Linked DNA regions of Oreochromis niloticus. Each later gene encodes a partner of the first gene's protein in a complex. Links are inferred from orthologs where the notes say so. Each region holds a gene or a part of one and is shown on either strand. Other genes may lie near its edges.

Evidence for each region.
Region 2: ahi1 (region 1) and b9d1 share a complex: the UniProt entries of both Homo sapiens proteins name them as parts of the tectonic-like complex. The link is inferred for Oreochromis niloticus from reciprocal best matches to the Homo sapiens genes AHI1 and B9D1.
Region 3: ahi1 (region 1) and b9d2 share a complex: the UniProt entries of both Homo sapiens proteins name them as parts of the tectonic-like complex. The link is inferred for Oreochromis niloticus from reciprocal best matches to the Homo sapiens genes AHI1 and B9D2.

The regions. Positions count from the first base shown.
Region 1 is NC_031983.2:20,286,120-20,294,141, forward strand, and holds the start of ahi1 (jouberin), read left to right. Parts: upstream 1-5,020; 5' UTR 5,021-5,193; exon of another isoform or gene 5,194-5,316; intron 5,317-5,494; 5' UTR 5,495-5,563; coding exon 5,564-5,573; intron 5,574-6,353; coding exon 6,354-6,472; intron 6,473-6,731; coding exon 6,732-7,312; intron 7,313-7,401; coding exon 7,402-7,490; intron 7,491-7,590; coding exon 7,591-7,777; intron 7,778-7,990; coding exon 7,991-8,022. Other genes in the region: vacuolar protein 8, read right to left, coding at 2,399-2,518, 2,796-2,915, 3,070-3,189, 3,827-3,946, 4,170-4,359. UniProt on the Homo sapiens protein: Involved in vesicle trafficking and required for ciliogenesis, formation of primary non-motile cilium, and recruitment of RAB8A to the basal body of primary cilium.
Region 2 is NC_031969.2:13,172,042-13,179,367, reverse strand, and holds the start of b9d1 (B9 domain-containing protein 1), read right to left. Parts: upstream 3,001-7,326; 5' UTR 2,856-3,000; coding exon 2,793-2,855; intron 2,637-2,792; coding exon 2,568-2,636; intron 2,415-2,567; coding exon 2,303-2,414; intron 1,623-2,302; coding exon 1,526-1,622; intron 1,343-1,525; coding exon 1,280-1,342; intron 767-1,279; coding exon 699-766; intron 430-698; coding exon 281-429; 3' UTR 1-280. UniProt on the Homo sapiens protein: Component of the tectonic-like complex, a complex localized at the transition zone of primary cilia and acting as a barrier that prevents diffusion of transmembrane proteins between the cilia and plasma membranes.
Region 3 is NC_031970.2:19,646,304-19,652,112, reverse strand, and holds b9d2 (B9 domain-containing protein 2), read right to left. Parts: upstream 1,396-5,809; 5' UTR 1,182-1,395; coding exon 654-1,181; 3' UTR 501-653; downstream 1-500. Other genes in the region: poc1a (POC1 centriolar protein homolog A), read left to right, coding at 4,204-4,288, 4,385-4,556, 4,769-4,948. UniProt on the Homo sapiens protein: Component of the tectonic-like complex, a complex localized at the transition zone of primary cilia and acting as a barrier that prevents diffusion of transmembrane proteins between the cilia and plasma membranes.

The DNA.
Region 1 (8,022 bases):
ACTCGGCCCTGAAAATCTTAGAAATATGGTATCTAAGCAGATTCTTACTCTGGATGGCATTACCTTGGCCTCCAGTAATGCTGTGAGGAACCTTGGAGTCATTTTTGACCAGGATATATCCTTCAACGAACATATTAAACAAATATGTAAGCCTGCTTTCTTCCATTTGCACAACATCTCTAAAATTAGAAATATCCTGTCTCAGATTGATGCTGAAAAACTAGTTCATGCATTCATTACTTCCAGGCTGGACTACTGTAATTCATTATTATCAGGATGTCCTAAAAACTGCCTGAAAAGTCTTCAGCTAATCCAAAATGCTGCAGCAAGAGTACTGACAGGGACTAGAAAGAGAGAGCAGATTTCTCCTGTTTTGGCTTCCCTTCATTGGCTTCCTGTTAAATCCAGAATTGAATTCAAAATCCTGCTCCTCACATACAAGGTCTTAAATAATCAGGCCCCATCTTATCTTAATGACCTTGTAGTACCATATCACCCTATTAGAGCACTTTGCTCTTGCAGTGCAGGCTTACTTGTTGTTCCTAGAGTATTTAAAAGTAGAATGGGAGGCAGAGCCTTCAGTTTTCAGGCCCCTCTTCTGTGGAACCAGCTTCCAGTTTGGATTCGGGAGACAGACACTATCTCTACTTTCAAGATTAGGCTTAAAACTTTCCTTTTTGCTAAAGCATATAGTTAGGGCTGGACCAGGTGACCCTGAATCCTCCCTTAGTTATGCTGCAATAGACGTAGGCTGCCGGGGATTCCCATGATGCATTGAGTTTTCCCTTTCCAGTCACCTTTCTCACTCACTATGTGTTAATAGACCTCTCTGCATTGAATCATATCTGTTATTAATCTCTGTCTCTCTTCCACAGCATGTCTTTATCCTATTTTCCTTCTCTCACCCCAACCGGTCGCAGCAGATGGCCGCCCCTCCCTGAGCCTGGTTCTGCCGGAGGTTTCTTCCTGTTAAAAGGGAGTTTTTCCTTCCCACTGTCGCCAAAGTGCTTGCTCATAGGGGGTCATATGATTGTTGGGTTTTTCTCTGTATGTATTATTGTGCGATCTACTGTACAATATAAAGCGCCTTGAGGCGACTTCTGTTGCGATTTGGCGCTATATAAATAAAATTGAATTGAATTGAACAAGCTTCTAGGCCTAACACCACGGCAAATTAACTCCTTGTTAGTGATCATGATTGACTACAATTCTTCTTTATGCCTGCATAAGGAGCATTTGTTTGAGAGCACATGTTGGATTGACCAATACTCAGAACAATGGAAACTCCAGGGAACTCAGTGAAGAACAAACAATAAGAACTGTTACACAAGTTAGGAAGGTCTCTTGGAACCACTTCTAAACAACTGCAGGTTTAAAGAGCATTACTTTAAACAACTGTACATAAGTACAAGTTATTAGGATTTGTCACCACTTTGCCCATCTCTGAAAAAAAAAAAAGAAGACCTAAACCATCACCCTCAGAGGAGAAAAAATTGGTTAGGATGTTTATTCAGCAACCCAGGAACCACCAAGGCTCAAGACTGTCTGAAAACCGTAGGAACATCAGCATCACTGTTCACATGAAGTTTTACACCAGTTGGGCTGAGAGGGTGCTGACCAAGAAAGAGAATACCACAAAGACAAGAGGTGTGCTTAGAGCAATAAAGGTGAGGCTATCAACTGAACTGTCAAGCATGGTGGTGGTATCATCATACTCTGGGGCTGTTTTGCTTCCAGTGGTACTGGTACATTGCACAAAGTTGGTGGAATACTAAAGAAGGGAGGAATACCTTCAAATTCACCTAAAATTAACAACTAGATGATTGAAACTTTGAGTCAGTTGGGTCTTCCAAAGGGACAATGATCTCAAAGACACATCAAAACTGGTTTTTGGAATGGATAAAGCAGGCTAAGATTAAGGTTCTGGAGTGGGATTCCCAAACCTCAACCCTATTTAAAAACAAAAACAAACAAACAAATAAAAACTCAACTACCTCTCTTGGCAGAATTGGTAAAATATTCATCTAGAATTATTGCAGAAGCTTGTTTATGGTTACTAAAAACATCTGGTTGAGGTGCAACTTACTAAAGGGAATTTAACAAAACATTAGTAGCCCCACTAATGTAAGGATGTGTGTATATCTGAGCCTGCATCTATACTTTTGACCCTGGGTCGATTAGACAAAATCCAAAATAAATTCAAAACTGTGCACAGACTTCTTGTTTTGTTTTGTTTTTTTAAAACTCAATAAATATGTTTACTGCACAATCATTCCTAGAAAAAGAACAGTTCAAAGTAATCCCTAAATTACCATGGCATTGATACCAATGATGAGTGTATCTAAACTTCTAACCACAACTGTAAGTGCACAGTGACATTCAAATGAAATGGTCCCACCTGACTGCGTGAGGTGTAATAGAGCCCAAGTTGCATTCCGTTGGACCTTTGGATCAAAAGATTTTGCTAAAGCCAAGAGTGGTATGATTCCATCGACCATCAAAGAATCTCGATTTGACTCTGGAAAGAAAGATGAAATAGCAACTATGCACGCAGGGACAATTTTGGAGTGCTAGTGGCCCAAAACAAATTAGCAGAATTTCAGCAAGACAGAGGAGAGGTCATTTCAAGAAGCACATGGAACAAAATAACTACTTTTCTCATAAGTCTTCAGTTCTCTAGCCATTCTCAAAGTCCTGCCATTTATTTTGCAATACATAATAAGTTTTTAAAATTAAGTGTTTGTACTTTCTAAACCGTGTCGAAAAATACTTTAAAAATGAAGGTCTGTACAAACCTGAGGAGGCCAACATGGCAACACAGGCACAGGAGTGACACTGAGCAGTGGGATCACCTGACCGGAACAACTCAATTATGGGCACCAGCATCCCCATTTCTATCACCAATTCTTTACACACTGAAATCAAATTTTATGGATGGCAAATCATAAATAAGCCATTTGTTCCAAAAGACCACGAGCTTTTAGAATCATACTATCAAAATCACTAAAATTCTGGATTAATTAAAAAAAATTATAATAATGTAAATATCTTACTATTATTATCTCTTACCATTATTCTTTACTAACAGATTTACAAGGGCGAGAGAGACAGTCTTTTGAACATCAAGATCAGATGATAAAAGTAGAGCCATGATGGGCTCCATGAAGGCATCTGGTAATGGACAGTTCACTGTAACACACAAAGAAGGCAAAAGTAACACACTTTGAAACTTAAGTCACATTTTTTGCTGTCAGAATGAACAATGTTCGAGTTGAGACCATTTTATAGTAGTTGTATGTCAGTCTTACTTGCAGAAGTTAAATGTTACAAATTTGAATTACATACTTGTAGCTGATTATAAATTCAAAAGATATATCCCTCATAAGTTGTGCTATAACCTCAAGCATCTAAACACAGCAATCTGTCAACTGCCACCAATACACAAAACACCTGGTCACCCATTTATATACTACAGAAAACTGTCTATGCTGTACTGAAAGAAGAAGCCTCAGCTAATATGCACCATTGGGCTCTTGGTTGGCAGATTATAATAAAGCATACTGTGAATTTCACAGTAAAATCCTCTTATTCTTCCTTCTTTGTAACACATGGGTCCATAAGTGGGCGTTTTATCTGCCAGCCTTGGGGGAAAAAAAAATACAGTTGGAAATTTGCATACTGGTCACACCCGTTAGAGAAAATATCTCTGCAGTAACTGATAGAGGCCTATGATGAAACCTGAAGTGCAAACAACAGCTGATCATCTGGAAGTTACTGCTATCAGGAATACTGTCAGATGAAACAAAAACGTGAAATCTTTACTCACGATGATGACTGAGGTGTAGATAATACATGGCTGAAGTCATTTGTAGATCAGTGTTTTCTGAGGTTGCAAGTTTGTTCAGTGTTTGCAGACTTTCCTGGCTGAGAAGTTGAGTTTCGTTGTCTGGGAGGGGGGAAAGAGATTAATTGAATTGATCATATAAACTTGTGTACATCTTTGAAGAGTAATAGCACATGCAGTATGAAAGTTTAAAGAAGTTGTTGTCTAAACGTTTACTTTGATGCTTTTCATTTTTCTAAATAACACAGAGGCCCTCTGCCTCGCTTTTTGTTCCTCTACAGCGATTTCCATAAAAAAAAAATATGCATGGCTGCAATTTTCCTACCACAGTTGAGGCGTAAGGAAGGCAAATCAAAAGCCTTCCTTCTCTCGGATGAAATCCTAAAGCAGTTGCACCGTCCAATCTCTCTGAAAGCTTCCTTTATCTTGAGCTCCAGCTCTCTCCAAGCGCTCCTCAAATGATCCGCAAATTCCTTCAACAACCGCGAGCAGGTGTCACAAAACCCTGAAGCCATGACTGCATCTTGTACAAGGTCCTGACACCTGTCTATTTTACACAACCTGCACGTAGACACGCCTACTGCTGTGTCACGTGACTGCAAGGTAAATTTAGACTCTCGAAAGTATCTTGCTCTTCTAGCTTTAAGGTTTTTGCATCTCTACACAACTTTAAAAGTAAAACTTATCGTGACACTTAATAAAAATTAATATTTAAATATTTTAGGCGTTTCACGGCTGTGCAAGTTTGTGGAATTCTGTAGCCTTCATATTGGGTTGGTAGTATTTTCGTTTGCGTTTCTTTTGTTCTAGGCTACAAATTTATTGTATTCTTTCTTTGTGTGCAAGCCTTTGTGACTGTGATGTAGAACTGTATGATATTCTATGTGAACTGTGTAAAGTGTATATCAGCTTACAAAAAAGTGCAACACGGGTAAAAACATTACATTACTTGAATAAATTAATAGGATACTTCTTCTCTGGCCATTGTATTAATGCAATAACAGATTTTTCTATATTTAAGATTATGATAAACATCAGGCTTTTAGAGGTAGACATAAAATAAGAAGAAAGTGAAGCTAATCATAACAGAAAAAACATGTAAATATATCTCTGTTATGAAATTCTGTCCTCAGCTTTGATTGGTTAATTTGTTGTTTTTGTATGTACGTCAGATTACGTTTCACCGGCTCCGCCTTTCTTTTTCAGCTTTGTTGACTTGGAAACCGTCGAAGCGTTGTTGTTAAAGATGGAGGACAGCACAATCACTGCAGAGTAGATACATGCGCTAACCCTCGGCCAACTCTTCTGCTTCTTATACATACTTTTACGGACTGCTACTGTGGAGCGAGGTTTGTTTTAATACTCAGACTGTTCGTTAAAGCTCCTAAATATTATCTTACCAAATGTAGTAACCCTACAAAGTCAGTGAGCTATCAGAAGCATTTAGCAAGCTAGCTGCTAAAGTGGCTAAGGTTAGTGGTTCACACAAACTGTACTTTTTCCTATACTCTGATTTCAGCAAATTAAACACCATGGGAGACTTAATACGGTTTTGTTTTACTAGAGTGCTAAACGCTTGGCTAGCAAAACATAGCTAACCCAGTAGAGATTTTGTTGTGCAACTTTAACGTCGTTATCCTGTATTTTTAGAATGAGAGTCTTCAGTTTTGGATTATTCTCATTTTGCGCTCGGAAAGAGAAACATCACGCTGTCTAAGAATGCCAGCAGGTAAGTTTCCTGCTGTTCCCTCCTCACTCCAATGGTGGAAGGTTCTTTAAATTAAAGTAGCAATGCCGTTTTTTATCGGCTGCTCCCATTTGGGGTCGCCACAGTACATCATCTGCCTGCATCTCTCCTTATCCCTCTGCATTTCCTCCTTCACTACATTCCCGGATCTTTTCTGTAGTCTTTCTCTTTTCCTCGTGTTTGGTAACTTTATATTTAACATATGTCTAATCTATCCGCTATCCCCTCCTCTGGACATGCCCAAACCCCCTCGGTCTTGTTTCGTTAACTTCGGTAGCGTTTCCAAACTCTTAAACCGGAGCTGTCCCTATGATGTACTCATTTTTAATCCTGTCCATTCTGGTCACTCCCTTAACATTGTTAACATCTTCAACTCCATCACCAGCTCCAGCTCAGATTCCTGTCTTTTTCTTGGTGCCACCATCTCCAAACCATACATCATATTAGGTCTCACTAAAATGTTGCAAACCTTCCCTGTCACGTTGGTGACAGGGTGTCCTTCTTTCCTCTCATATTTATCTCCACCCACTCCACCATGCCTGCACTCTCTTCTTCACCTCACTTGTCCCCTGTCTGTTGCATTGCTACTCTTACTTCTCTTACTTAGTGTGATGCAGTAGTGTAAAAATGCAGTTACAAGTTTTGCAAAATTTTTTTATCAATCTACAGAAGTGTTATCAACAACGTGTAGTTAATCTTATTTATGTTATAAAGTCTAATCTGCATTGTCATGTAATCTATATAAAATGTTCCCTTTTATAGGTGAGAGTGAAGACCGGGCAAAAACCCGGGAAAGATTTAATGAAGTCTTCAAGAAGTACACAGAATCTGAGAAGAAAACGTTGAAAAAGAAAAGCACTGAAACACCGGAGACTATTGTGGTATGTGTTTCTTGTGTTCTATTGATAATTTTACATCAGATGTTGGCAAAAACATATAGAACTTGCAGGACATGTCTTAAAACTATTTCTGAATAGTCCAGAATCCTTGTGGATTCTGCATTTTATGTGAACAAGGCTGTCATGATGCCCCTCTTCCAAAACATACAACATGTCGGACATATTTTAATTGCGGAAGTTTAATAAATAACAAAATAAAAAGATTGTAAGTACTGACACCTCCTTCCCTTTTCCTCTTTAGCTTCAGAATCTAAAAAAAAATCTCAACCTTGAGAAGGACACAGAAGACAATGAGACCATCCTCCAGAACACATATGACCCAGAAGAGGGCAGCCCTCGCTACACAAAGAATAAAAGAAGGGAGAGAGAAATTTCAGAGAAGGTTAATTTTAACAACAATAGAAACCAAGAGGAGATTAAAACATCAAAATCTAAAAGAAAAAGTAAGAGGGACCTTCCCTCTCCTCCTACGCCCGAGGACATCAGAAGTCACATCCAAGAAGATGCAAATGCATCAAGACCTGAAATTCCATTGGATCCAGATGATTCTGTAGGTGGAAAGGCCCCAAAGCAGAAAAATAAAAAGGGAAAAAGCAAAGGAGATACAGAGGCTAAAGAAGCAAGCCAGGTGGAGGACACAGAAGATAACCTATTGCATGAATACCAGCAAAAGATAGTAAAGGAGGAGCAGAGGACTTCAAGGAGGACAAGGGTCAAAGGAGAAGATGAGAGTGCTGTCTCGCAAAGTGTTACGCTTAGCAATGATGTGGGGAAGAAGAAAAAGAAAAAGATGAAATCTGTAGTCACAGATTCAGATCCAGGGTGTGTATAACTATTAGTGTACTATGGAGTTATAATTAGTGATAAGGCAACAGTGTTTGATTTCTTTCTACTTCTTTTTTTGCCTCCAGGGATCAAGATGAAGATACAGACCTGGATGCTGAAGTGGAAAATGAAACAGAATCCAAGGGAAAGAAGAAAAAGAAGAAGAAAAAACATGGTGATTGCACGATAATTCTCAGGATTCATCAAATTCCAGTTAAAGGTGTATAAAGGTGTTGATGGTAATCCATTTCATATTTTGTTTTCTCCCCTTGTAGTTGTCAAAGAACAGAGTGAAGCGGAGTCAGAAGCACCTCAGAAACCAGTTTTTGATGACAACCTTGTTCTTGGAGTGTACATTCACAGAACAGACCGCCTCAAGACCGACTTGATGATTTCACACCCCATGGTGAAGATCCACGTCGTTGATGAAGCCACAGGGCAATATGTGAAGAAAGAAGACTGGTGAGACATTTCTGCGATTAAGTTTAATGTTGTGTTTCAATTTCTGGGCACATTTTTTATTTAGATATTTTTACCTTAAAATAATTGGACCATAGTTATTTGTTTTTATTTGGACCATAGTTATTTTTATTTATAAGCCACTTAACAGTGCCAAAACCTTGGAATTATAACACATTTTGCCTTCAGTTCACATTTTGTTTTTCTTTTTTGTAGTCATCGCCCCGTATCCTCATTTTATGAGCAGG
Region 2 (7,326 bases), on another chromosome or scaffold:
CTCAACATGTGGTTTATTTGTGTTAGAAAAGTTAAAAAAAAAAAAACATACAGTAACAGTGAAAAAATTCAAAAATGGTACAAAATGTATAACTGAAAGCACATTAGCATAATTCCATCTCTGCACAATATTTCCAGATACGCACATTGTTGCTGGTGTCTCAGTTGAACACGGGATTGTCACTGTGAGGGGAAAAAACGTCGCCTTCAGGGGCTCGTAACATGAGGAGACGTGTTATTTGGCCCAAATTTCCTTCAGTCTGTTAATGTTGCCACACGTTTTATGGTTGTTCCTCTGTTGACCAGCCAGATGTGGCGGAGGGCTTGTTTGCCGGGCCTGATGGTCCCGTGTCATAGTCCATCTTCTTCATGTCTTTAGTCATGATGAGAAAGGAGACTGAGACGAAGCCTTGCGAACGAACTCTAGTCACTGCAACATTAAATATAAGACAGAGTTTTTGTTTTAGTCCAGAGCCTGGAAAATACGCTGCAGAGTAATAAGTAACTTGTGTAATTTGATCTGCTGTGAATCTAAAGGCTCAGTCACTAGAATAAAAACTGCTATAGGAGAAACAACCATTTCAACAGCAACACGAAGTTAATCGCACTAGACTGGACTCCTTTCATTTTCCCTGGTGTGACTTTAGCACAACGTGGTAGTTTTGGGACAGTAAAGAAATGCAGACAAGAGCCACACACCTTCTCTGCCCTCACCCTGGGCCACCACTTTAGGATCTGTGTATTCAGGCCGCCGCCCCGTCAACCACCTGAACAGAGGAGAGGAAAAAAAAAAATTGTCGTACACAGAAAGGTTCACAAACTGGCTTAAGAATATGCATTTAGCTTGAGATGTACATCGTTTTCTCAGTCTACTCTGGAGGGCTTTTTAAGGCAATTTAACCTTAACTTGATACTTTGATACAAGTGGCTAAAACAAGAGGAAGAAAAGCCCTTAAAAAGTGTGCTGCTGCTGTTTTATTTCAGTTACACTGTCAGGACAACAAATGGCATAACTTTGGCATGCCACCAAAGTTACACAACCTTAGGTTGTCAGGAGATAACGTGGGAATACCTTTGTGTTTTTCCGCATACTGATCACAGAAGCAGGAAAACAATGTTAATTATTCTCACCACACAGGTAATAAGAGCCTATCTTTAGCTCAGGTCTTGCGCAGATAGACATGGTGGAACATTAACTTTTTTGTACTGCTCTGAGATCATAAGCCACCCGAGCCACTGGCAGAGAGACGAGAAGACTGCACACTGAGCACACATCTCACCCTGTGAACTTCTGAAGTCTCCATGTGGGCTCAGGAACAAACATGGGAATGGTTTTCGTATGCCTGAAGAATAAAAATAAGGTTATTTTCTGTTTCACGCTCTTCCTGCTGAAAGAAGCAAGTGGTGTCTACATTCTGACATAGCTCAAAGGTGAGCACAAGTTATTTGAAAATGGTACTTGTGTAGGGCAACCCCCCCCCCCCAAAAAAAACCCCTAAGGATAAGTAAATGAAAGCAGTACTGACTGTCCTGGTGTGAAGGGGATGTGTGTTGCTCCATAGCCTCTGACTACATCGTTGCCAAAAACATCTGGACCATAAACACTCACCACGAGCTGAGGCCCTGGAAAATGAACCCATTAATTAATACATAAATTCTCTGTCTACAATAAGTTTTAGATATTACTTCTACTTCTATTTTCAGCTGCTCCCTTTAGGGGTCACCAGAGCAGATCATCTGCCTCAATCTCACCTATCTAACATCTTCCTCTGTGGTCTTCCTATTTTCCTCCTGCCTAACAGCTCCATATTCAGCATCCTTTGTCCAGCATTTCCACCTTCCCTCCCTCCATGTCTAACTGTCTCCAAACTGCTCAACCTGAGTGGTCCCGCTGATATATTAATTTCCAGTCCCATCCATCCTGGTCACTCCCAGACTCCAAACCATGCATCATAACAGATCTCACCACCATCCTTTAAACCTTCCCTTTCACTCATGCTGCTATCCTTCTATCACAAATCGCCCCTGACACTCATCTCCACCCACTCCACCCAGCCTGCACTCTTTTTCACCTCTCTTGTACACTTTGGACGGTTGATTCTCACATACTTGGTTGGCTGTCTGTCCGTACTACAGTTCATCTCTTGTCACTCTATCATATACTTTCTCTTGATCTGCAAAGACACACTGCAACTAATTTGCCATTCTCTATACTTCTTCTAAAGGATCTAATATTTTTGTCAACAGAAGGCAACTGTTCCTAATTAACCACGTGTTTTTGAGTGTGTTTGTGTAATGCTCACATCCAGATGGATTTGTGCTCTTAAATGTTGTTGCCAGTGGGAAGTTCCATATCAACCTGTGCGATGCTTGACTGCTTTTACTGGCGATTTGTGTGATGCCTTCCTCCAACCCCTATAGAAGGAAAACAAACAAACACACGAACTTTCAGTAGGGGCTGTACTTTAACCATTTGTTATTTAGTAAAGACTTTATGACCCCTTTTCAGGCTAATTGTGGCTTTACTAAACACAACACTGTAATTTTATATTGCATCACGCTACTCACCGTGGTGGGAGCCCAGTCGTGGCCGTAGACAAAACAATATTTGCAGTACAAGTTGTCATACTCTGGAAACTGAAATACAACACAGATATCAGCTTAACACCTGTACACAAGGGTAAACGAACCGAGAAATGAGACGAATCCATGGCACAAGCTATCTCAGGGGGTGCTAATGCTAGCTGAACAATCAGCTGCAAGGCTAGGCTAAAACACAGAAAGCCCACGCACGTTCGCTCCCTCAATATGTCCGTTCACCGTGAGAAGAAACACGGATGGGTTGCTTGCAGCCATTACGGCTTTAGTTAGTAAACCAGAAGCTGAATGCGTTTCTATTTCATGACAGATTCAACCCGCTGCAGAAGAATCCTGCTGCTGATCATTCCGTTGCTAGGGCGACGCTTTTCCTCCTCTCTACGGAAACCTGCTACATCCAAACTGAACGGTCGCGTAAACGCGGTGAGGAAATGTTCACACTGTCCACAAGATGACGCCACTGTACCAAACACCAATAAAGAAGCAAACTCAAACACTGAGTAACAGGAGAGCATCCTGCAGCTTTATATAAACAGTGAACACTATCAGGCTGAGGAGACGGTAATGCGCGCGGTCACATAGTGTACTAAGTGGGGCCACGAGTCACAACATATGATCAGGAAGCAGAGGAAGTGTGGAATGGAGGAGCACAGCATTACCACATTAGTGTCCAGTGGCTTCGATTTATGGGTAGGATTTATTACCATGTCCATTCTTGGGAACAGAAGATGGCAGAACTTAATATGTTGGTTGTCAGCCATTGTTTAAAAACAGTGAGGAAGAGGAGAAGCCTTCCAGCACATAGGGGAAGTAGAACAAAACTGGTTTTGATGTAAAAACTTTCTGGATCTGCACTATTTTTTTTCTTCTACTGTTTAAAATTTACACGACAGTGAATTTGAACTTACATCAATTTAAACTTACAAACTTACTTGTTTTTAATTTAAATGAATTTTATAGATAATTTTGAACAATCATGTAGGTGCTATTAGATCTAATATAAGATTGTAACGCTGATGTCGGGGTTAATTTCAACATTTAGGACTGCAGGCCCCTTGTTTCTCTGTGTTGATGACTGACTTTACTGTTAAAAATCACATATTGCAATAATTCTACATTTAAAATGACTTCCTAAAATAAAAATACATCTTTTTGTATAAAATAGTGCTTACATGTTGACAGAAGGTGTCAATTTGAAGGCATAATAGCAAATCTTGCATTATTCTCTTAAAAGCTCTTATGTCATATGGTAATATCTTAAAAAAATCAGTCAGTATCTGTTGTCTATATTTTTTTTAATTTATTTTTTATTGAACTTTTAATTGCAAAGCAGGAAAACAACAGTCACCAACATATACATATATACATACACAGGACAGAGATGTACCTACATCTATGGTGGTCGTGGGAGTCAAGAAAAAAAAAAGAAAAAACAATAGCAATAGTAATAAACAATGAAAAAGGCTAACAATCGTCCCTTTGTTGCCAGGCTAAATCCCGTAAGCCCGATTTCAACCTCTGAGCAGAAGGAGTGTCCAGATGGGCCAAAAAAGGGCTCCCATGTCCGGTAGAAAAGGAAAGGTTTGTCTTAAAAACTGTTTTAAATTGTAAATTATACTCAGTTCATAGGATTATATTATAGTTACCTCTAGAATAGTTAGGCTTTCTGGGAAAATGCCTTGAATCCACAGACTAACATACCTCCAAGAGCTAAACCTTCCTAAGTACCTTTTTAGATTTGAGATATAGTGTTATTTTTAATGTATTGCTTCAGTTTTAAAGTCTTGTCATCATAAGTGAGAATATATAAATTGTACTATTATTGCACATATGCAGTGCTCAATAAATGTATTAGACTATATGTCATAAAAAGAAGAAAACAGAAATGGTTTAGAAATCTGTCAAAAACTTGTTGCAAAATAAAAATTGCATTATTATTTATTAGGTAATTAACAGACTGAATTCACATTTTTCCACCCAAATGTGAGACACACCGGACTTCTCTGAGGTGTCAGAATTGATGAATAAATCGAGCATAAGATTCAAGCACTAAAACCGATTTTTCTGTTCAGAAATGCAAGTAAATAACTGTAATTTGGTGCCTTAATTAAAAAAACATTAACATGCTTTATTATTTTTTCAGCTTTTTTATAGAACAGTTCATTTAGAAGTTCATGGATACAAGAATAATTATATTTTTACATTAAAATTATTTATTCATTTTTATTAAAGAGCCTGCTCAGACTGGTGAATTAACCATTGCAGAAACAGAAGAAATTAGTTTGGTAATTCAGGACAGCATGAAACTTACACTGGGTGGTATTCTAATAATTTATGGAGCACTTTATATGTTCCTTTTCTTAAAAATGACTAGTGTGCTTGAAGTAATCTGTGAGTTATGAGGGAAAATGTTTTCTGTCTAAGGATATTTGAAAGGGTGCATTTTCACAAAAATTATGATATTTTCCTAAATCTAACCACATAATTTAATTGCCTCAACAGCACCAGAAAAGTGAAAATTATATAGAAATACTAAACTACATGGCAGAAAGCTTTTCTGGAAGAAAACCCTGAAAGCAAACCACGTACGATCAAACTACATCGAGGACCTAGTTGTTGCATGGCTGGGAGCTTTAAATGAAACCCAACGAGTCCCATTTCCAAATGTCAGGTCTGCCCTTCCATTAATCAAAGTGCATGACAACAACAAGCATACACTGTATAAACAGCGTATATGTGACGAACACATTGGTAACCCTAAGTGCATGAACACCGTGTTCTTTGTCAAGCAAATGGCACTCTTGTTTCTGCAAACAAAGATGGAAATGCGCAATTGTGGTTTGCCTACCATTTAAATGCATTATATGGCAAACACACATAAACAGAGTGCAGTGTTTCCACTATATCCGACTGCGTAATGTCCAAATATGAGACGAATATAAGAGGTAAGTAGTATTTAGTTAAATTAAGTGGAAATGTGCTCAGCACTTTACCAAATTAACATTAAACTGTACAACATTATGGTAACAGCTGGATTTGTAATGCAGTTCCACTGAGTTTATTCAGATGCTACTACTATTAATTGGAAAACATCATCCACTATATTTTCTCTGTTTGCAACATGCTGCCACATTTTCAGTCGGGAGGATGTGAAGTCATGTTCACGTTAAGAAGAAGGTACAACGTTTTGCTTAAGACATAATACAACTCTGGGCCTTTAAAGATCTTAAAATGAGATAAATACAACCTCAGATGAATTAAAAACAGGACAGAAACCAGCATGTTACTGCTTATTTAACAAATATTCCATATGAATCAAGTAGTTAAGTAGCAGCCAATCAAATGCACTTGATTAACTCATTATCAGTAAGTGTGATGTGATGATTTGATCTTGTTTTGCACTGCAGAACCTGGGCACTTGGCAGTCATTGTGTCCACCATGAAAAAATGTTTTCTCGGGTTAAATGTGAGACCATCTGTCTGGCGGCTAAAGCTTGGCTCAAATTGGGTCATGAAACAGGACAATGATCCCAAACACAGCAGCAAATCTAGTGCAGAATGGCTGAAAAAGAAAGGAATCGAGGAGCTGCAATGGTCCAGTCAAACCGATTGAAATGCTATGGACTTTCAGAGAGCTGTGCATGAGTGAATTCCCGCAAACCTCAATGAATGAATGTAAGGAAGAGTACAAGAAACCGATTACTTTAAGTTATTGCTGCTAAAAGTGGTTCTACAAGCTACTAAATCAATCAATAAAAAATCAGCAAAGATGTTGTTTGGGCCAGCCGTGGCCCAGTTGCTACAACACACCTGGCATCTGCCCCTAATATGGTCGGGTTAGCTGAGTTGTGGCAGTCAAGTCTGGGCCATACAGTCATTGCTATCTGTGGTAACCTACAATGATTGATGGGAACTACAACTTTTAGGGGCAACAGAAACCAAAAGAGCAAAAGACACACCAACAGAATATTCATATTCACCTGAACAAAGAATATACCTCACTTCAAGAATATACCTGATGGATAGAAGTTTGTAAAGGTTAAGTTAAGATACAATATTACTGTCTAGCTGAAGTCCCATCTCAATGTGGAGCTAATTGCTGTAAAAACATAACTGGTAATATAGGCCAACTGGGCTAAATATGGATGAAACTGTTTCACGATGAACCACACTGTAACTGCGCATTTCTTTTAAACTAACAGCTAAAACTGCATCAAACACAGCCCCCCAGGTGCAGCTGCACCTTGTAATCTGGGCTTGCCCACCAACCCTTACCAAATTAGAACATGGCAAGTGTTTTAAGTGGACTAAGTCTGCAGTGTGAAAATTTTTTGCCGAACATGCATAAAGAAAACTGCTGCAAAAGGGAGTAACGCTTCAAATCCACCAGAGACTACTTTGTAGCAAATCTAAGGTAAGTTTGATTTATAGTTTTTCTCCTGCTCTGTTGTTTCTCTGTAGCCTCGATGCACTCTTTGCACTCTTTCCACGTTGCAATATCTTCTTTAGTTTAGCCACTCAACCGGTTTTGTTCATCGAAAATCCAGCAGTTCTCAAACTGCTTTTGAAAATGTTCAAAAGGAAGAAACACTGTAGTCCATCCCATAGATGGAAACGCATACAGAAGATCAACCGATTGCGTGTTTGAAAATGGAAAACTAGGCATTGAGCAGCGAAACCCTGTAATATTAGTGGTCCTGTGTCCTCATCCACAGTGACACAGACAGTG
Region 3 (5,809 bases), on another chromosome or scaffold:
TATTCTGTGCAATACAGTCATGCACCATACACCACAGTATCTGGTAACTGAAGGAAAAAAAATATACTCTTTAAAAGTCTCTCCAGTTCTTTCCTTGTGAGGTTGTTGTTGTTAATATGAAGTAAGATAACTCATTTTATAATTTTCTTAAAAAGTAGTGACTGGTGCCAGACTAGCAGGGAACTCCTACATCTTTTGATAAACAATATTTGCTGCCAGTGAATGGCTCACACTTGGAACCAAAATGATACATTTCAGTATAGTATTTGCCCCTACTCCTAATCTGTAGCAGGCTATTAATGACTTAATCCAAGTAACAATCCTGTTAGTCGTACAACTTAAAATCCAAAATAAAAAGTAAATGTGGCTTTACATAATATAATATAACAATGCATTTAAGAAAGCAGCATTAAATGAGGCGTGGTTGCACGGAATATCGCTAATAAGAGCCAGTTTTATATTATTTTTATATTAAAAATACAAATCAGCAAGAAACCAACTTCAGTAAGAGAATATTTTCTTTATTTACATATAGTTTGTAAAAAATAGTGTAGTTAAGAAAAAAAAAATAGTACAGAATTCTACTAAAAGCAAGTGACTCAAATATGATCTATAAAAGTTTCTATTTTCTGTCTTTCTGCCATTTCAAAATCTCAACACTCGACACCATATTTGTCAAAGTGTCTCGTGATGATGCCCAGCTCCAGCTCCACAGTCCCCATGGCTTCGGTGTGCAGTCTGTATCTGTCCGCCCCGCTGTAGATCAGGTCAGGGCTGAGGAGCTGGGGACCTCCGCCGACGAACATTTGCGCCAGCCGTTCTTGCCAGGAGCCCACAGGCCTCCAGGTCGCACAGCTTATTCGGTGATGTCCCGGACTAGAAGGGACGTGGCAGAAACCATAACCATAGAGTTGGCACCGTCCGAAAGAATCCTGATGCCACACCTCTAGGTGAATCTTCGGCCAGCCTTGCAGCCCTTTGGTCGCGTAGTGCAGATCGATCGGGTGGCTCCAGTACGCTATGTCTCCGATTTGGGGGCTATCCACCTGGGTCTGACCCTCCTTCAGCCCGGATAAAAGCCGCCATGCTTCTCCCGTATGAATTCCCCATTTGCAAAACAAAGTCTTTTCCGGGAAACCACTTGCACCAATGATCTGCCCTATAATGTGCAGCTCTGCCATGTCACACTGGTTCTCTTTAACCAGAAAATGTGGCACGGAAAGTCCTGTTTTGTCTCTCCGATGTTAACGGCTAGCTTAGCGGCTAGCTAAACTAACGGCTAAACGTCTCCTTGGTAACCGCCTACCGTGATTTGCTATATAGCCATATACCCCCTGAGTTCGGCCTCGCAGGCACCACTTCCGGTACGAATCCCGTCCAACATTATGAAGACCCAAAGCTTCACCTTTATAAAGTTGTTTGTCATTAATGAATAATTAATTTTCACTAATTATAATATTGGCAATATTATTCCTGATCTATAATAAACGTGTGTGGTGAAAACGCGGTGGTGTCACGAATTTGGAACTACACCCTTACAGGTTGAACTCAGGGTTAAATTAGTCCTAGTACGAGTTGTTTCTGTTTTTCATGCATTGTTTATAAAAGCCCGTTCGTCGAAGACCTAAAACACCCCTTCATATTAATACTTTTTAATGAACTCGTGACGAAGAATTTACTTAATTGCTCGATTTCTCTGAAGTTTAATCGGTCTTTGGAGTCTGTGAACACTGTGAAACAGCGCCAGTACGCGGCTGTACTGCGCCCAGACTCCACAGTTAAACCAGTCTTACACTCCATGGTGGACTTTTTACAGTATATAAAAGGATTTATGTATACAGTATTTTACCTTATATTTTAAATGAGAGATAGAAATGATATTTTATGAAAAACCCAAGCTTGGGAGTAGCGTGAAATGTCACTGCGCATTTGTTAAAAGGAGGATTAAACTTTGGAATAGTTGTTTAGGCATAAAGTCAAAGTCAAAGTCAGTTTTATTTGTCAATTTCTTCAGATGTACTTGCCATACAAAGGAATTGAAATTACGTTTCACACTGCATAGACATAGACAACAATAAAGTGCAGATGCACAACATTTAGGTAACATACAGGATATAACAAGACAGGACCTAACATATAATAAAGTGTTCCACAGTGTGCCCTGGAAAGTAGTGTACTAGTCTACTTGAGGTAGTCCCAGGTTGTGGTTGGTAAGTGTTTTTGTTTTAATGCAGCATAAGACTGTAGCAGCAGTAATAGTAATATAAATAATATAAATAGTGCTAAAAAAAATACTAAAAATATATAGCAGCAGGTGTGTGCAATTGTAATGCAGAGGTAGTTGTTTCCAGTCAGGAATGTAGAGAGTGTTTCCTTGTTGTGGAGTGTGTGTGTGTGTGTGGGGGGGGGGTAGAGTCCAGTCTGTCTTCCTATAGTTCTGCCAATCTGGTGATTCTGCTGGCTGGGAGCCGGGAGGGGAGAGAGTTCAGCAGTCTCACAGCCTGGTGGATGAAGCTGTTGGTGAGCCTGGTAATGCGGGAGCGGAGACTTCTGTATCTTTTTCCGGAGGGCAGGAGGCTGAACAGACAGTGCGCGGGGTGGGTTGCATCGTTGACAATTGTGATGGCTTTGCGGGTAAGGCGGGTGGTGTAGATGTCTTGCAGGGAGGGGAGTGGTACACCAACTATCCTCTCAGCTGTTCTCACAATGCGTTGTAGAGCTTTCCTGTTATAGTCAGTGCATTAGTTTAATTAGTTTAATTAGTTTTAACTTTAGCCTAAACATATTCGGGTTGTCATATAAATGAACCAGATACAAAGAAATGAAATACATTTAAACCTGCTACTTTTAGATCACATTGTACTTCTAGGAACATTTAATTTCATTTATTTGAAAACGTTCTTAAGTGGTAATTTACCTTTACCACTTACAGGATGTAATTTAAGTTGCATTTCTGTACAAAATTGTTACATATAATTTTTGTTTTTATCTAGCTGACATACAAGTTAGTGTATTTCTCGCAAGGATCTTGCTGGCATTAGTGAAACTTTCTTTGAAATGGATTGAACATTGTTAGACTGAGATAGTGATTAAACTGTGAGAATGTAATCAAACTGTTTATCAAAGGGAAACTGTGATTTTTAAGACACTCAAGCCTAACACTGGCTGGTATATGTTAGGTTGTAACCAGCTGTTGTTGTTTGGTTGCCTCGTTATTAACTGCCTTGAAATGCTAATGATGACAATAAGTAACTGCAATGATATCTGGAATAAATAAGCATGTTTATGCACATTTTCACGTATTAGAGCGGTTGCTTCCGTTCAGAAGATGAGGGTTGAGGTGAGGAGGGCTAGTATGCCGTTTCAATGATCCCAAAACGCATCAGTTCGGTCACTGAATATGCTGAGCCTCAGAATGTGGTGTAACCCCGGTTTGCATGCTTTTGTGTACATATTTGTCAATAGCTGTTTCTTGTAAAATCTTGATGAAAACTTTCCCAGAAGAGCAGAGGCAGCCATGGTAACATATTATTGGCCATGGGTTTTGCAATGAGATGTATCACACACAGTGGGTGCTTTTCACAGTAAACATTTTGACTAGCAGCACAAGTGTTACTGCTAACATAAACACAGACTCGTTTCCATTCACGTGTCATACTAAGTCGTGACTGTGAACCTGTTCTAGGAGCCTAAAACCAAAACAGCGTATTTTTATTAATCTTTATTTATTTATGTATTTGGTGTGAAATGTCTGAAAAATCAAAAGCTGAAAGAGCATTAATTGAGTGAACCCATACTTTACTTTGGTGTCATAGAAGTGCCTTGTGTATTCTAAACCTTATGTGTGTAGTTGGGATGTTGTTAGCGATTTTATGGAGAGTTAGAAATTTACTCTGTGTTATTTTCCGACAGACTTAAGAGAGTGAAAAAGAATAACTGCGCAAAATCAGAGAACCTCATTATTTTAGCTACAAATCATAACTATGGGGTTCTTTGCTCATGTTTCCAGGCCAGTTTTAGTCACATCATACACCCACATAGTCGTGATGAGGAAGAAATAGCACTTCTTCAGTGATAATCTCTTAGTAAATAGTACCAAAGTTTCTGTTTCCCAAATGTCTTAACTTATTGCTTATTATTGTAGCTTTTGTAGTCATGATGACATTTTAACATTTTGACATGACTCTCTGTTTGCTCCCATAGTCTGATCCAACCCTAGAAAGACATTTCAAGGGTCACAGGGACACCGTAACAAGTGTGGACTTCAGCTGCAACATGAAACAAATCGGTAACAATCTGTTTGCCTGTTTGCTGTTGCCTTTGTCTTTTCCTTTTTGGAAATACATGATGTTCTCACTCACATCTGTGCTTCATCCTCTTCTAGCCACAGGCTCCGTGGATTCCCGTGTGATGATCTGGAACATGAAACCTCAGATGCGAGCGTATCGTTTTGACGGACACAAAGACGCCGTAATTTCCGTCCACTTTTCCCCATCGGGCCATCTGGTGGCCTCTGCCTCCAGAGACAAGACTGTACGTCTTTGGGTGCCAAGCATGTAGGTGTTAAAGTAAAATCTTTCTGTCTTTTCTGTTTTTTATTCCACCACCGGTTTACTACAGAGGACAATGATCGTGACTCATAAAGAGCAGCAACTACTGAATGTTGTTTGTCTCCTTCTGCCAGCATGGAGGAAGGCACACATTGCTGAACACCTTCTGGGTTTTGCTTGTTTGTTTTAAACTTAAGTAATGTCTTGTGTCCATACAGGAAGGCTGAGTCAACAGTATTCAGGGCTCACACTGCCACTGTGCGCAGTGTTAACTTTTCTGGTGATGGACAGACTCTGGTCACGGCCTCTGATGACAAGACAATTAAAGTGTGGACAACCCACAGGCAAAAGTTCCTCTTCTCTCTCAACCAGCACATCAACTGGGTCCGCTGTGCCAAGTATGAGACACACATTTAACACGATACAATACATCATATTAGGACATTTTGATAGATTTACACTTCAGGCATCACATTATGATCTTTGACAGATAAAGAGAATTACACTGATCATTTCCAAAATGCATCTTTTTCGGGCTGTTCCTGCTCAGTATCTAACAATAGTAGTCCAAAAAAAGGAAGTTCCAAGTTCCCCAGATCCCAATCCAATCCAGTATCTGGTGGATGTGCTGGACAAATAAATCCCATAAATGGCCTAACCTCGCATCTTACAAGAATGAAAGCATCTGTTGCTAACATATTGGTGCCAGATACCATAGCACACCTTCAAAGCTATGGTGGAGTCCATGGCTCAACAGGTCTGACCTGCTTTGGCAGCAAAAGGGGGACCAACACATTATTAAATCTGTTTTCAATTGTCTGATGACCTGCTAGCTTCATTGAATCGGTTGTGTGACTGCTTGAAAGAGGTCACAGAGTGGCTGTCAGCCAATTCTCTCATTTTAAATGATAAGAAAACTGAGATTATGGTGTTTGATAGTCACACTCCACGAGATCAGCTAGCTGCCCGATTTGGTCCTTTTGCTTGCTTTCTTACAGACACTGTAAGTAATCTAGGCGTTTTCCTGGATAGTTCGTTTAAGCTGGATAAACAGGTTTCCTCTGTGGTTAAATCTGGCTTCTTCCAATTGCACCAAATTTCTAAGGTCAAACGTTTAATACCGTACAAAGTTCTTGAAAAACTTTTCCATGCCTTTGTGACCTCCAGATTAGATTATTGTAACTCGCTCTACTCTGGACTCCAACTCACTCACATCCAACGATTACAGCTTGCTCAGAATGCTGCGGCTCGTCTCCTAA